2 linked regions of the Xenopus tropicalis genome follow. The protein of the gene in region 1 interacts with the protein of each later gene in a pairwise test. Links are inferred from orthologs where the notes say so. Each region holds a gene or a part of one and is shown on either strand. Other genes may lie near its edges.

Region 1 (8,670 bases):
ACTGCAAGGGACTCCATAAGGCATGTATACAAACTACAAATCTTCTGTAAAAGTCAAGCACAAAAACAGCAGCACTACTCAGAATAACTTAAGAGGTGCAAACCCATAACTTTTATTTATGGGTTTCTGTGTGTGCAAAAATAAGTTATGAGGTTGCTCTTAAGCCATTCCAATGACTCCATAAGCCAGGACAAACACATCCCACTCTAACTCATCAGTCGTTTGTTATGCCACTGTTTGGTTTCAACTTCCAGAGTTACCTAGTATGCAAAGTTTAAAAAGTGAATTTTGAGAAAAATATCCATCAGGGAGCAGCAGAAAAATATAATTTGATGAAAATGTGTATTTTGCTGTGGTGTAACTATAAGCAGAACCATCATCTGCTTGTGGTCTCTAGAGGTATAGGTGGTGGAATGGGGCACTGACTTGTTAAAATGTATTTATGAGTTATGTCTTACTCCCAAAGCTTAGAAACCTAGATTTATATTGCTGAGAGGCACAGTAACTTCTACCACTTATGCCACCTTTAGGGTAATGGCCTACAGGGAGATTAATCACCCTCAGTTAAATCTTGGCTTCCATGGGTGACTAATCTCCCCGAAATGCCTTTCCACTGCAATAAAGTGGAAAGTAAATATAATTAATCGCCGGTGGGAAGGCATACACACCACTTTCCAAAGTAGTACGGTTTCCGTACTGGAAACGAAGCGACACGTATGCCTTTTCACTAGCGATTCACTTTATTGCCAGTGATTAACTGCAGGCAACTAATCTCCCCATTGGCCTTTAAACTTACAAGTAAAGGTGGCCATACACATTACAATAACATACTCTGCCTGCCCTATGCTGCCTGTGTGTGCCAAACTCTGCCTTCCCTACCCTGCCTGTATGCCATACTCTGCCTGCCCTACCCTGCCTGTGTGTGCCATACTCTGCCTGCCCTTTGCTGCCTGTGTGCCATACTCTACCTGCCCTACCCTGCCTGTGTGTGCCATACTCTACCTGCCCTATGCTGCCTGTGTGCCATAATCTGCCTGCCCTATGCTGCCTGTGTGCCATACTCTGCCTGCCCTACCCTGCCTGTGTGTGTCATACTCTGCCTGCCCTATGCTGCCCGTGTGTATGGCAAGGGCATGGGCATGTCCAGTTTGCTCCAACAAAAGATATTATAGTTATTTGCTATTAGTATCTAATACCATGGGTGACTAATCGTAAATCGCAGGTGAGAAGGCATACGTGTCGCTTTCCAATTGAATGGGGTTTCCTCCTGCAGGAAACTTTGTGCGACGTCTGAAAACAAAGCAATACATTTGCCTTTCTACTGGCGATTCACTTTATTGCTAGTGATTAACTGCAGGCAACTAATCTCCCCATTGGGCCATTAAACTTAGAAAAAAGGTGTCCACAACAATTAGTCACAGGAAAGATTGTTTGTCCACTCCACTAGTCAGACATGCAGGTAGAAACAATAGAATTCAATCTCTATTGACGATTCAGCATTAACTTACATCCAATGTTCGGGCGCCTGATAAAAATTTTCAGACCTGTCTGATCGGCAAGATAACAGATATCCAAGGCTTTTGCCGATATCGGTCTCCTCATCAACCCACCATACGTGCACCAAATATTTGCAAAACCGTGTTTCGTATGATAATATTAGTGTATCGGCACCTTAATCCCCTGTCTATGGGTATGTCCAGTTTGCTCCAGCAGAAGCCTTTAATGTTATTTGTTATTAGTATCCATTAGAAATAGACAGATGCTATCATATTGCATTTGCTGGGAGAACTACCCAAAACATTAGTTTTTACAATTACATTAAATCAAAATGTTTTTAACTTTGTTCTGATAGATCAGGGGTGGGCAAACTACGGCCCGCGGGCCACATCCGGCCCGTCAGCCCTTTTAATCCGGCCCGCCGTCTCCGCCCCCCTTAAAAGAATGAAGGGCTCTGATTGGTTGTGCCCCATGCGTGCGCACAGCGTCAGCACGCACAGGGCGCAACCATATAAAAGAATGCACTGGGGAGCCGGGGAACAGAAGGACGGGATGGAGGAAGCAGTGGGTCGCTGGGGAGGAGCTGAGAGGCCCCATAATTTTTTATGGCAGCCCCGGGCGTAACGCTGTCCCGGCCCGGTCCGGCCCGTATGTTAATTAATGTGGCCCCTGAGCTAAAAAGTTTGCCCACCCCTGTGATAGATTATTATAAGCACTGTGTAGATCAGGGATCCTTAAACCATATGTTGGGACCCTAAAATAGATCCCCACACTGTTTAGGGTAGAGCTCCATGATCCCCTTTAAGCCAGTGAGATGTTTTCCTACAACAGAAGTTAAGACTTATGTACAGTAACATTACTAATTCTATGGCAGTTCTCTAATTTCTTCCCTCAGTATTAAGCAGTTAAAAAAGAAGTGTTTTCACTAAATTCATTGGTGGTGTACTCTAGTGCATTCTAAGGGCTCTTACACATTAGCATTTTATCTGGCACTCTCCTGTGGTAGATTTCTCCTGCGCTCCTCCACAGTGGAGTGCAAGACGAAAAGCAGAAAAAAAAGAAAAGAAAGAAAAGACACAGGCGCATCCAAGCTTCAAACGCAGGTTGAACACATCACGTTGTGTTCCACCAGCGTTGGTGCTTTGATATGCCTGTGTCTGTACGTCTGATAAAGATAGCTGCGTCCTGCGCATCCCTGTGGTGAAATACAGGAGAAATCCACAACCTGAACATACCCAACATAAATAAATCTTACCCTTCTATTCATTTAATCATACACAGATATATTTCCTGTATTTAAACTCTATCAGCTATGCTTTGCCCATAATGGCAATATTGTGACATTACAATGGACCAAAAAGCACCACTACCTTAAAGGACAAGGAAAGGCAAAGTCACTTGGGGGTGCCAAAATGTTAGGCACCCCCAAGTGAATTAAACCTTTTAGGAACAGCACCAGCCCGGGGTAGCTGCAGCGCTTCCTCCTTCCTGTTTCGCGCGCATGCGCAGTAGAGTGAATAGTGGAACTTTAACAGAGAAGTCGGCTTTTTACTCTACTGCGCATGCACCGGTCGTGGGGTCCCGGCAAAACGAAGCAGGAAGCGCTCGCTACAGGTACCCCGGGCTGGTGCTGTTTTTTCCTAACAGGGGCACCAGCCCGGGGTACAAGGTAAGTGATTAAAGTCACTTGGGGGTGCCTAACATTTTGGCACCCCCAAGTGACTTAGCCTTTCCTTGTCCTTTAATATAAGGCAAAGCAAACTTTGACGTTAGTTTAAACCTGTGTTTTTAGTTTTCTCCACCATATGATTGTCACCTAGACAGTAAAAACAGGTCACAAATGGTGGCAACCCTACTTCGTGACCTCAGAACCAACAACATTCTTCATCTATGAGAAATAGGGTTGCCACCTCACCCCATTAATATCGACCACATATTTAGGGTATTTATGTTATTTATTAAAAAACTTCACAAGAAAAGATTAACATAGGTGAAGACACGCTGTTAGTGCTACTAGTAGCAGCTAATTGACATGGCTACTAAAACAGACAACACTGATTATTTACTGATAATTGTCTCTACCTGTGTTTTAGCAGAGGCAATTTTCAGTATTGTCTATGGCAGGGTATTTTCTGGCGTTTAGTAACCATGAAAAAGTAGCTGTTACTAGTTGCTCTGTGTGTCTTCACCCTTAATTCACATCCTGCATGGCTAATTAGCAATTAATTTAAATGCATGCTGCAGGCTAAACTGATTTATGTGCTGCTGTGTACTATGAACTAAATTAATTGCTAACTAGCCATGCTGGATGAGTATTAAATATGTGGCCTGTATTTAAGGGGTGAGGTGGCATCCCTAATCAAAAATAGCTGCTTCTCACACAAGTGTGTGCGCCTTTAGCTAGGATTTTTCTATAGACAAAACTCTCATCTTAGCACAAAGTTTTCACAGTAGCATAGTACTGCATTTCACCAAAACATTTTTTAAATAGTCTAAAAATGTAAATTTTGAATACCCTGGAAAAGTTTACTAATGGCACTGCACCCTTTCCAAAAGCCCAATTTTCCAATTCTAGTCTTTAAGGAGACTTTAGGTACTAATCACCTTGAGTTTGTATGTGTATTTATATGCCATTTCAGAGGTTTTTGATTGTTTCAGTTGTTTACTCCTATGTCTGGCTTCTAAAAAGTTACTACTTAGATGTTTTAATTAGAAGTTTTTCAATGATGAGTCTCCTCTACCCTTTGTAGGCATAGTGACATATCACAAGCCTAAAATTAATAGAAGTGCATAAATATAGATACAGTATTATGTGATGTACAGATTTCTTTATTTTACTCGTATAAAGGTAAAAGTATAATGTGGGTCACAAATCATTCCCTCACCCAATACAATATATTGTATATATATATTCATTAGCCAGATGCAAGGGATCACCATCACAAAGGGCACGTCACCTCTTCCCATATCCACTTATTAAAGATTCTGCTATGCTGACATTTTTCAAACCTACACTAAAAACCACTGTGCCGTTTGCTGCTTCTTTTCCAGTAATATAGGGATTAGCATGTATTTATCTTGTGGGAGTTTAATGCAACTAAATGTGCAACTAACAGTTAGGAGGAGGGGAAGCATAGACACATGACTATAACACACATTTTTTTCCAGAGTGGTGACAGAGACCCAATGAAGTTCTGTTGTAGCTACAAGCAGCAACAGCAAAACTAATAAATAGTCACAAGTAGTATAGTAACAAGTATAGTCCACTATAACATTATCCACTCAGTTAGATTTATTAATGGATCAGAAGTCCTCAGATGCCTAGAGATACTAGGCAAGGTATCTGCCTACGCAGTTGTGAGGCAATACATGTAAATATAGTCCTTGGTCTGTACTGCACAGTCCTACAAGTCTGTTTTGATTCCCAACCACGTGACAAATTAAACATCTATTTTTGAAAAATGGAAAACCACACACGCTTGCCTCACTTATTTACGTTTGCAGTTCAATAATGTTAGCAGACCATGCGGAAAATTGGGGCTGCTTCTAGATAAGAAGGGTTGCACTGAATGCATTTCATTGAAATTCAATCAGTTTGCAACCCAACAATTTGAATTTATTAACTCTCCTTGAGTGTTTTCAAATGACTCAGTACAGTAATAGTAATTACAGACAGCCATGTACTGCACGTAGACACATATATACATACTTTGAGATGAGGACAGTTACAGAAACATATCAAAAGCAGCACCCTTTCTTTCTTACAAGCACAAATACTCCTGTCACATTGCCATAGTACAGAGAACAACCCCCTCAATACAAGCTTCCTGGTACCCTGCAATGCAGCACAGAATCACAGACATAACTCTCCCATGTTACCTGTGCGTGACAATGCCGTGTCGTAAGATTCTGTTTCTAGAGCCTTGAGGAGGTGGTGGTGTTCAGTGAACAGCTGAAACTGACTGCAGGCTAAAAGCATCCGGATTCATTGAGCAACCTGTGAGACACACCCGCTAACAAAATAATGCAGGCAGCTTTTCCAGCCACTTAATGCAGTTACTATAAGCAGCGAACAAGTCATTCTGCATTTAAAGAGAAAGCATACATTTCAGCATTGATTAGTTGGGCTTCTTGGGACAGATTTGTATGTTTTGTTATACATTGTGCTCATGCTAAAAATTAGCACTGTGCAGGGAAGTTTTAATAAATGGGCAAAAGGGGCAATTGCGCAGGGCCTACCAGGACTGGGGGCCTACAATCAGACTTTTCATCTGATGCACCCCCCAGTATTGTCAGGCCTCTCATTTTAATCAGCTGGAAGAGGTAAACATATTCCTGTATATTATTTTTAATAGAAGCTGTCATTCGTGATCACAGTTTATCTTTTCCCAACACTGTGGTATTGGCTACCAAGCCTCGACGTCATGTCTGTTTAAGTAAGCACAGATTTTTTCTGTATTTCCTGCCTTAATGTATTCAAATACTGAATATTCAAATACTTAGGCCTGAAGGCAGGCCTAACAGCAATGTATTAGATTAGTTGCAGGGGCCCACCAGTGAGCTCTTTGTTTTGGACCCATTGGTACCTTAAAGGACAATGAAAGGTTAATATAACTTAAAAGTAAGTCTAAAGGCATTCTTTTTAAGTACTTACTGCATATCTAAATTCCCAGATCCCTGCTTGCTTCTCTGAGATATGGTGCTGGCAGCCTACAGCAGACTACAGTGACATCACTAAAATCTCTCTGTCCTTCCTGTAGGCTGCCAGTGGCAGCCTTCCTATTCTCTGAGCATGTGTGTAACTTGATCCTGTCTCCTGTTCTGAGCTACACATGCCCACCAGCCAATCAGAAGCCGATCTGGCAGAGGGGATGGGGGGAGGGAATGAAACACATGTGCAGTATGAAGCAAGGAGGGAAAGGAAGGGAGAATACTTTTTTAGAGATGGCTGCCTGTTCTAGAAAATGTGAAGTAAGTGTGACTGAGTAAATATTTGATTAGGTGAGCCAAAAGTGTGGCATTTTTACTAAACAATAGGAGGACTATTGGGCAGTATGCTTTTTAAATTTTGACTTGCATTCTCCTTTAAAGCAGCCCTGACACTGAGTTGACTGTTATAGGGTCCTTGTAGATAGTAAGCTCTTTTGGGAAAGGCCCTCTTCACCTCTTGTATCGGTTATTGGTTGCTTTATATGCTACTCTGTATGTCCAATGTATGAAACCCACTTATTGTACAGCGGAATATATTGGCACTTTATATACAAATGTTAATAAATGTTAATAGGGAGGGCTATCTGTATTTATTTTATACAGATAAATTAAGGTGGAATTTGAGACTATATAGATAGACTATAGTGGGGGCAATTGCACCAGCAGCACCCCCCACCCCACCCCCAGCAACTGATCACATCATCAGATTTGAAAGGGGACACTGGCAACACAACTAAACCGAACTAGGGTGGCCCTAGCCGGAACTATTGGTAGGCAGAAGTGGCACCTGCCTAGAGCTCAACGTTTAGTGGGCCTCTGGCAGGAGCCTCTCTTGCCTACCCCTAGTCCACGCTCGCTTATCATTGCCCCGACCATTACGTGGTGTGGTGGGGGCAATGACTGCCCACACTCCAACCCCCCTGGTGCTGGGTTGCTTGGGCCCGGTCAGTGTGGCCCTAGCAATGCTTGTATGTAGCTATGTCTGCACAAGAATACAGGTTTTGATACCACTGAATACAACTCTAATTGGGCAGATGAAAGGGGCATATTGCAAAAATATGGAAGTCCATGGAGTTGAGCATAGAGCAAATATACTAAATAAATAAAATATTTATTTTAAAACACATTACTTTTGGTCTTTGGATAACAGGTCTTCACAATGTACTGCAAAAAAATTATTTAGGTATTGATTGTCCTTTAAAGGATGTTTTTGTACTTTCTAAGTAGTTTTATCTTTTGAGATTTTTCTGAGATTTGTATGACTGGCTAATGTTGGCCAGATTAGTTTTAGTTTTGTTGCTGTTGCTGAATGAGCAGATGACATTGTGGGCAATATGTGGGTGAGGCAGGACTGCAGGACTGTGCTGTGCAGTTATCTCTAGGCACATTAGGTAATTGTGTCTCTTGGATGACTGAATATTCTGCTTAGTTATGTCAGGAAAGGTTCATGTTTTGGCAAAAATTGATAGAGAAGCGGAGCACAGAAAAAACTTGAGAATAAAAACATAAATTTATTTCATCATTTAAAAATAGGTCAGAGCATATTCACCTCTTTAGCTTAACGCGTTTCGTGGTAACACCACTTCCTCAGAATTGGTCCCATGATACTCACATACCTTCCAACAGTTTGCTCTAAGCAGTGTATTTATCAGATGGTGAGTTCTAATTTTCACTCATTGATAAATACGCTTCTAAAAATCTAAAAAAAAAATCTAAAAAGATGAATAGACTGGGGGTGAGATTTGATATATTAAGTTCTAAACTCACATTTTGATAAATCTGCCCCTTGGTGTTTTTTGGGCACATTCTGGGTCCTTCTGGGTGCAGGCACAACTTTAAGCATAGCAGTGGTTTGTCAGCCTGTGCTAATTTGCAGGCTGGCAATCCACCCTGTGTGTCCTTGCCCTAAGATGTACTCTTGAGTCTGGAGCATCAGATGTAAGGAGGGCTTTCTGCCTGATTTTGTGGCAAGAACTGCAACTGAGATGGGATACAAATAAGATTTGGCAGTTCTTGGAAAGAACTTTAATGAGGAAAATAAAAAGTCTATACTGGAGCAAGAGAGTCCAGGTCATGATGTCATGCTGTCTTGCTCTGGGTGCTTTTTTTCTGTAGGTAAAGCAAAATGTTTATAACCATAATGTTTGCTGACATTCTTTAACCAGGAGCCATCTAGCAGTTGGTTATTGCAAATTCATACAGGGGCTTTTAAGCTGTGAAGGGGTATTTCAATCAGCTTAAATTGCTTGAAAAGTTCTCAGAGACCTACTTATAGCGTCTTGACCATCTAGGATATCTGTTTAACTCTCTGGATGCTTTTTTTGTTTACATTCCCTAGACCTTTGTTTACAAAAAATATAGATGTATAGTTGTATACAGTATGTATATATATATATAGTTGTGTATGTATTTGCTTGCAGCTTCTGGAGTCAGCTGCTATTGATTCTTTGGTTATAGCTTTCC
Region 2 (8,631 bases), on another chromosome or scaffold:
ATTTCAGTCAGAGCTGGACTATCAGTGACTGTTATTACAGTAACCTTCCTGTAGGTGGCGCCAGTACAAAACCTGATCTTTATCCCATCCCAAAGCTTAAGCAGTTGCATTAGATAGTATCTGATCTGCCAGGATCCTCCCTACACCCAGCATTTCGTTAGATTGGAGCTCTGATACCCTGTGTGTGAGGAGGGTGGGGGGGGGACTTCTGCTACATTGTTTCTACAGTCAGAACCAGAAAGGGCTAAACAGATAAGGCGTCTCTTCCTCTAATAAGATAATAAATATGAATATTTCTTTGCTGCACGTGAATTAGAAAAGGTTATTAAATCCCAGGGAAGGAGATCTGTGCAGCCTGAGAAGGTAATTGGCAAAAATGCATTTCATTTCCCTCTATTAGTTTCTGTAATGAAATAGCGAATAATGCGGCTGTAGCGTAGTAACAGGAGGGATTAGGTGCAAATGTAATTGCTATTAGGAGCGGCATCTGTCTGCCCTTTCCTAGTATTATCTGCACTGCTGGTCCCGACTGCCTGTACCGCTCCAATTCCCATAATGCCTTGCACACTTTTGTTCATCACAGAACAGGCTGAAGGAGAGCTGACTACTGCGGAATTGTCTCAACAGTACATGTAGTCAGAACCAGCAGTGCAGAGAATAGCTCCTGGTTAGTGTGCCTGAACCCCCGAGGTAAAAATTGGGCAGGGTAGTTTGGGATAGCCGGGGTATACAAACAAGCACTTTTAACCTTTTTTTTTCTCCCAATACAGAAGCAAATATTAAAGGGGAAGTTAATCTTACTATGATCTTGTAGATTGTAAGCTCTTTTGGGCAGGGCTCTCTTCCCCTCCTGTATCGGTTACTGATTACCTTATATGTTACTCTGTATGTCCAATGTATGGAACCCACTTATTGTACAGCGCTGCGGGATATGTTGGCGCTTTATAAATAAATGTTAATAATAATAATATGATGCAGCTGTGCTGAGTTCAATTTCAGACAGGGCCCTATGCAAGGAGTTTGTATATTACCCCCACGTATGTGATGGACTTCTCTGGGTTAATTGGCTCCTCATCATTGACTGTCTGTTTGTGACTGTGATAGGGACCTTAGATTGTAAGCTCACTGGGGCAGGGACTGATGGGAATGGGATAGGGACCTTAGATTGTAAGCTCACTGGGGCAGGGACTGATGGGAATGGGATAGGGACCTTAGATTGTAAGCTTCACTGGGGCAGGGACTGATGGGAATGTGATAGGGACCTTAGATTGTAAGCTCACTGGGGCAGGGGCTGATGGGATAGGGACCTTAGATTGTAAGCTCACTGGGGCAGGGACTGATGGGAATGGGATAGGGACCTTAGATTGTAAGCTCACTGGGGCAGGGGCTGATGGGAATGTGATAGGGACCTTAGATTGTAAGCTCACTGGGGCAGGGACTGATGGGAATGGGATAGGGACCTTAGATTGTAAGCTCACTGGGGCAGGGACTGATGGGAATGTGATAGGGACCTTAGATTGTAAGCTCACTGGGATAGGGACCTTAGATTGTAAGCTCACTGGGGCAGGGACTGATGGGAATGTGATAGGGACCTTAGATTGTAAGCTCACTGGGGCAGGGACTGAAGGGAATGTGATAGGGACCTTAGATTGTAAGCTCACTGGGGCAGGGACTGATGGGAATGGGATAGGGACCTTACATTGTAAGCTCACTGGGGCAGGGACTGATGGGAATGTGATAGGGACCTTAGATTGTAAGTTCACTGGGGCAGGGACTGATGGGAATGTGATAGGGACCTTAGATTGTAAGCTCACTGGGGCAGGGGCTGATGGGAATGTGATAGGGACCTTAGATTGTAAGCTCACTGGGGCAGGGACTGATGGGAATGGGATAGGGACCTTAGATTGTAAGCTCACTGGGGCAGGGACTGATGGGAATGTGATAGGGACCTTAGATTGTAAGCTCACTGGGGCAGGGACTGATGGGAATGTGATAGGGACCTTAGATTGTAAGCTCACTGGGATAGGGACCTTAGATTGTAAGCTCACTGGGGCAGGGACTGATGGGAATGTGATAGGGACCTTAGATTGTAAGCTCACTGGGGCAGGGACTGATGGGAATGTGATAGGGACCTTAGATTGTAAGCTCACTGGGATAGGGACCTTAGATTGTAAGCTCACTGGGGCAGGGACTGATGGGAATGTGATAGGGACCTTAGATTGTAAGCTCACTGGGGCAGGGACTGATGGGAATGTGATAGGGACCTTAGATTGTAAGCTCACTGGGGCAGGGATAATGTATAATCAGTATGTGAATCTGTTGGATAGTAGTAGGTGCCGGCCCCTGAGCACTTACATGCCAGTAGCACACCGTGTATAGGCTGGAGATGGCCAGATGGCACCCAGTAACCCAGCAGCTGGCAGTAGAATATTCCCTACAGTGAAAGTTCCGACTCATGCAGCATTCCATCAATTTATTTACGCCGGACAAACCAAGCAAACACCCCCCCCCCTCCAAATTACACACTTCCTCTGTGTAGATGCTGCTATTCATTCTCTCCGTGTGCTGAATAATACAGAGCTCAGGGGCGCTCTCGCACACTCACACACTCTCTCGCACACTCGCACACACTCTCTCTCTGACATCACTCAGTACAAAGGGTGGAGTGAGAAAGCATTGGAATCAGTTGGGTCTGTGAAGGGGAAGGGAAATTCTCTGCTCATAGAGGGAAGCGGAGCCTGGCTGTCAGCTGAGTCACATCCACACAGGGACTAAGTGGCAGTCGGGCGCAAGGCACCCCATCCCTGGGCACTGAGTGGAGACAGTGGCACAGAAGGGGCTCTAGGGGGGCCACAGGAGCTTTGCCATCCATCTGGGGTACCCAGGACCAGAGTCTAAGGCTTGAGCTGAAGGATACGGTAAGACATGATGGGTGTGATTGTGTTTTTGGGGTGGGGGGGGGGGTGGATAGGATGTGGGACTCACAGGAAGGGAGTGGCTGCAGGGAGTAGTTGCTGTGCCCAACAGCTGGAAGTCCTTACAAATAGACCAGTTGCATGGCTGTCACTACTTATCCCGGGATGGGATTCCGGCAGCTGAAGTTTGTGCAGGGATAGTTTAGGGTAGGGCAGAAAGGGCATCTGGGGGGGCCCCACCAACAGCTGTATTCCACTCACTGCCCCTCCCTTACTCAGGGGCCCCAGACTCAGGAGCCCCACTCTCCCCATCCCTGCTTGCTGGATTGATGGAAAAGACTTTGTTGGACAGATCCTTAGAGTATGCAGCTGGGGTCCATGCCCACACCCATCCACATTCCTGCCCGTAGCTCCCCATTGGATCTGCCCATTCAGCGGGGCAGCACAGCCGGCATCCAGCAGGCACCGTGCCGGAATCGGCCAGCGGTTCTGGGTGGGATTTGGATCTTCAGAACTTCAGCTGCTTTTCCCCTGACTTGTGAATGACTTTAACCCCCCCCCCCCCAATGGCTAATTAGTTCCCAAACCCTTGCGGAAGTAGCAGCCCCCACCCCAGTAAGCCAGTAGCTGAAACAGTGCCGGAGGGGTGTGCCGGATAATGTTAAACCCCCAGATTATTGGCTCAGCCCCTGGCATTCAAAGGGTTAGTGCTGCATTTAACCCCCAGCTCCCTGGGCCAGTAAAACATAGTAAGGATATCCACCCTTCCCTTCACTGTGCCATCTCCGCCCGGTGGCAACGGTTCGATTCCCATTACATGGGGAAGGGGGTAACTAACCCCACATCTACCCCTTTTAAAGGGAAAGTTGCACTGCTGTACATCCAATACTGATAATTGTACTTCCCCCACCCTGACCTTATGGGAAGGCAGCATAGCTAAACCTGTAATACAGCATTAAGGGCATATAGGATAGGCTGCACGGCTGAACTACAACTCCCAGGCATTGGAATAGTACAGCGGGAGTTCAGCAATTACTGGGGGAATCTGGATACCCCCATTGAAAAAAGATATATGTATGAGATTAATGAGTGCATGTTATATACAGTTAATGCTACTACAATACACTAAATGGTGATATTAGGACTACATTTCCCAGCATCCCCAGCATTTATTCTGCTCTCATTGCTGTGCATTTACCCAGACGTTTTTCAGGGGTCGCGTCAAAATTCCGTAAATTCCCAAAAACTTAAATCAGTGAAAAACGCATTCAGGGACGTAAAATGGGGGTTCTACTGTACATAGAATCGATATTCCTTACGGCACGTGGAGGAACGTAAACTCTTCTGTCAAAAAACCTCTGCCTGCCCTCTCCTGGCGGCGTTCTAGCCCGCGATACGCGAAGGCAGCGCATTGATTATCTCTATCCCCTGCGGCCTCAGGCAGTGGGTATTAGGAAACCGTGTAATGCCGAGCGACAGGAAATCAAACGCTCCGACTGAGCGCAAGAGCACTGCTAGGGGCCACTATAATGCAGCAGGAATGTAGGGAAGGGGAAAGTGTTGGAAGGGTTACTGCCTGCTCTGCTCTCATTCCCCTACAGAAATAGGGGTTGGTAGCACTAGGTAGGTACCTAATATATAGGGGCAGAGACAGGGGAAAGTGTTGGAAGGGTTACTGCCTGCTCTGCTCTCATTCCCCTACAGAAATAGGGGTTGGTAGCACTAGGTAGGTACCTAATATATAGGGGCAGAGACAGGGGAAAGTGTTGGAAGGGTTACTGCCTGCCCTGCTCTCATTTCCCTACAGAAATAGGGGTTGGTAGCACTAGGTAGGTACCTAATATATAGGGGCAGAGACAGGGGAAAGTGTTGGAAGGGTTACTGCCTGCCCTGCTATCTGTGAATTATACTTATTAGTTCTTCCTATACTACAGGTGGGAGGAGCGGACCCCCTTATCCCACCCAAGTGATAAACATGTTCTCATTTAAAGCTCCCATAACAGCAATGGAATAGATAGAATCCCCAATCAGACGTGTCCCCGGCTAAGCTGCTCCCCCACCCCCCATAACATCTGCTTTATCTGCAGCTCTCGGGGTCAGTCCGTGCCTCGGCGCAGCCTGTGGGATATTTCCCTACGTTCCAGTGCATTTAGTACAATTCCCCAGTAGTCGGAACTGGCGGCGATTACAGTTAATATTGCCCTAATCCACTCCGGCCTCATCCCTGTGTATTAATCAAATGGAGAATAAATTCCCCTATCAGGATAATCCCCTTGATTGAAAAGAATTGATTGGATGGAGACATGTTTTTTTATTTGTAAAGGGAAAAGTCCCACTCAGTCCAGGACTGTAGAAATAGAAATTCAGGGGCCAATGCCACCCCCAAAGTATTCCGGGACTACCTGTGAGTCGAAGGATAATAAATAAAATATATGGACCAATCAGAGGTGACTGCTAATTAGTTGCTATGGGATGTTACAGCTGATTTTATGAAGAGCAACAGTTGGGGGACAGAGGATGCTGGGAGTGGTAGTTATCGGCACTTGACTGAGTTTATAACATAATACTGGCCTATATATGTGCGGATTTAAAGGTCAACTTAACCTTTAGATTCATTTTATATCTGTGCAGTTGTCACTTCCTTTCCAGTAGAACAGGAAATGCGTGGGGCAGCCATATTTTAAGTCCCATGGTGAAAGGACGGAATATGCTGAACTGCACGGGAAGCCATTTTTTATTAAGCCACTCCCAGATTCCCTTTCTAAATGATCAGGATGTACCAAATGTTATAGTGGAAGGGGGGAGCTACTTGCTTCAGTCACTCACCTTCTGAAAGATCAGGATGTACCAAATGTTATAGTGGAAGGGGGGAGCTACTTGCTTCAGTCACTCACCTTCTGAAAGATCAGGATGTACCAAATGTTATAGTGGAAGGGGGGAGCTACTTGCTTCAGTCACTCACCTTCTGAAAGATCAGGATGTACCAAATGTTATAGTGGAAGGGGGGAGCTACTTGCTTCAGTCACTCACCTTCTGAAAGATCAGGTTGTACCAAATGTTATAGCGGAAGGGGGGAGCTACTTGCTTCAGTCACTCACCTTCTGAAAGATCAGGATGTACCAAATGTTATAGTGGAAGGGGGGAGCTACTTGCTTCAGTCACTCACCTTCTGAAAGATCAGGATGTACCAAATGTTATAGTGGAAGGGGGGAGCTACTTGCTTCAGTCACTCACCTTCTGAAAGATCAGGATGTACCAAATGTTATAGTGGAAGGGGGGAGCTACTTGCTTCAGTCACTCACCTTCTGAAAGATCAGGATGTACCAAATGTTATAGTGGAAGGGAGGAGCTACTTGCTTCAGTCACTCACCTTCTGAAAGATCAGGATGTACCAAATGTTATAGTGGAAGGGGGGAGCTACTTGCTTCAGTCACTCACCTTCTGAAAGATCAGGATGTACCAAACGTCATGGTGGGGGGAGGCTTTTTTTTGTCATTATTTTGAGGAGGGAAGACATATTTAGTCACTCCCCTTTCCGAAAGATATACCACATTTCATGGGAGGGACATTTCTGAAACAGAATGTACCAAATTTCATGGTGGGAGCCAATTTTTGGTCGCTCCTTTCTGAAAGATATACCAAATTTAATTGTGGGGGGAGCCATGTTTTCGGTCCCTCCCTTTCTTAAAGATCGGGACCTTATGGGGGAAGCCATTTTTTCAGTCTTGAAAAAATGGGGGGGCGGGGCCCTTTATTCAGTAACTCTATTTATTCAGTCACTCGATTTCTATAAGATCAGGATGTACCAAACGTCATGGTGGGGGAGGCTTTTTTTTGTCATTATTTTGTGGAGGGAAGACATATTTAGTCACTCCCCTTCCGAAAGATGAAAGATCGGGATGTACCAAATTTAATGGTGGCGGGAGCCAGTTTTTCGGCCACTCCCTTTCTTAAAGATCAGGATCTGCCAAACGTTATGATGGGGGGAAGCACATTTTTCAGTCGCTCCTTTCTGAATGATGGGGATGTTCCAAACTTCTCGGTGGGGGAAGCTATTTTTATTCACTCCACCAAATGGGATGGTGGTGGTAGCCATGTTTTCTCCCTTTCTTTAAGATCAGGATCTGATTGGGGGAAGCCATTTTGTCAGTCACTTATGAGTCACTCTATTTTTATAAGATCAGAATATTCCATTCTTCAAGGTAGAGGGAAGCCATTTTTTTCAAGTCACACTGCCTCTGAAATTATAGGATATACCAAAGTTCATAGGGGGGAGCATGTCCTCTGTTGAGCAAAGGTCTGTTTCTTGATATAATGAGAACCTTTTCTATTAACCGTAGCTCCCAGCTAAATTTCACTACCTTTACCGAGGGCTCACTTCGTCATTTTTGTTTCATTTGATGCTGTTGGATATCTCAAAGTATTCATACCATAATTACTCTTCACTGGCTCTAATGTAACAGTGACCCCTGGTGGCTAAATGGCGGTTTCTATTATAAAAAAGGACAAGTTTTATGGGCAAGTTTGGGCTCTCAGTTGGTGGAGAATGCGGCTTGTGTGTTATGACCTATTAAAGGGGACCTGTCCAAATACTTTTCTGTTGGGTTGGTCAAGTATAATAAACATCACTTACGCTATATAATTTATATACATCTTGTTTCCTTCGGTCTTGGAATTACACAACTACGGCCTGCAGGGAGGCGCCATTTTGTTAGTAAGGAAAGCTTTATATCATGCCAAAATCTTGTTTATATGCCAGAATGGGGGGGGGGGGGGGCCTGATCCCCAAGAATTGGCTACACAATAAGATGGTGAGAAGAAGGGGGAAGTGTGAGGAGGGCAGTGACATCTAGGCAGTGCTGAATGGAAAGTGAAAGTAACTGTCTAAGACATAGAGGTGGGGCAGCCAATATATGATTGACAGCTGGGATTTTTAAATGCCTTTATAATGGGTATGGATGTGAGGCCCTTCTGTGGGGATTATACAGATCCAGAGGGCCACAGATCCCCGACAGTGGCCCTTTTATGGACAGCTCTGTATGTGCCAGGCCAAGGTTGGCCCTGGGGAGCCTGCAGCAGAGATATGGGCAGAGTAGAACAGAGCCGGTTCAGTCAGCGCATTGGCAGGCTTGGCATGTCCCACAGATAATGCTGGCATTTTAACTCCCCGTGACTGGGAGCGGAATGAGGCAACGGCTGGAAACCCAGGAGAAAGAGAGCAGGGAGTTGCACATTGTAGCCAGAGGGGACGCCACTTACTCTATCCCCTTATCTGCCTTAGATAAACAGCTTCAATTATAGACCAAAGGGGCTTGCCGGGAGTTGTATTCTAGTAATAGATGAAGTGCTGTCATGATATAAGTAAGGTTGCTTGTTTTGCACCCCTCACTTCCTGTCCCTCCCCTCAGTGCAGTATGGTTCAACCCCAAACAGGAAGTGAGTAATACACAAAGAACAGTTCTAATTACGGACCATACGGGGGTTGCCGGGAGTTGTATTCTAGTAATAGATGAAGTTCTGTCATGATATAACTAAGGTTGCTTGTTTTGCACCCCTCACTTCCTGTTCCTCCCCTCAGTGCAGTATGGGTTAACCCCAAACAGGAAGTGACTAATGCACAAAGAACTTAATTACAGGCCATACAGGGGTTGCCGGGAGTTGCATTCCAGTAACAGTTGGAATGTTATCATGATATAAATAACTGAAGTTACTTGTT

What was found.
Region 2: the proteins of pld1 (region 1) and pea15 interact in a two-hybrid assay, tested with the Homo sapiens proteins (2 studies listed by BioGRID). The link is inferred for Xenopus tropicalis from reciprocal best matches to the Homo sapiens genes PLD1 and PEA15.

The regions. Positions count from the first base shown.
Region 1 is NC_030681.2:111,352,457-111,361,126, reverse strand, and holds the start of pld1 (phospholipase D1), read right to left. Parts: upstream 5,490-8,670; 5' UTR 5,477-5,489; coding exon 5,377-5,476; intron 1-5,376. UniProt on the Homo sapiens protein: Function as phospholipase selective for phosphatidylcholine. Implicated as a critical step in numerous cellular pathways, including signal transduction, membrane trafficking, and the regulation of mitosis.
Region 2 is NC_030684.2:138,137,182-138,145,812, forward strand, and holds the start of pea15 (astrocytic phosphoprotein PEA-15), read left to right. Parts: upstream 1-2,700; 5' UTR 2,701-2,918; intron 2,919-8,631. UniProt on the Homo sapiens protein: Blocks Ras-mediated inhibition of integrin activation and modulates the ERK MAP kinase cascade. Inhibits RPS6KA3 activities by retaining it in the cytoplasm. Inhibits both TNFRSF6- and TNFRSF1A-mediated CASP8 activity and apoptosis.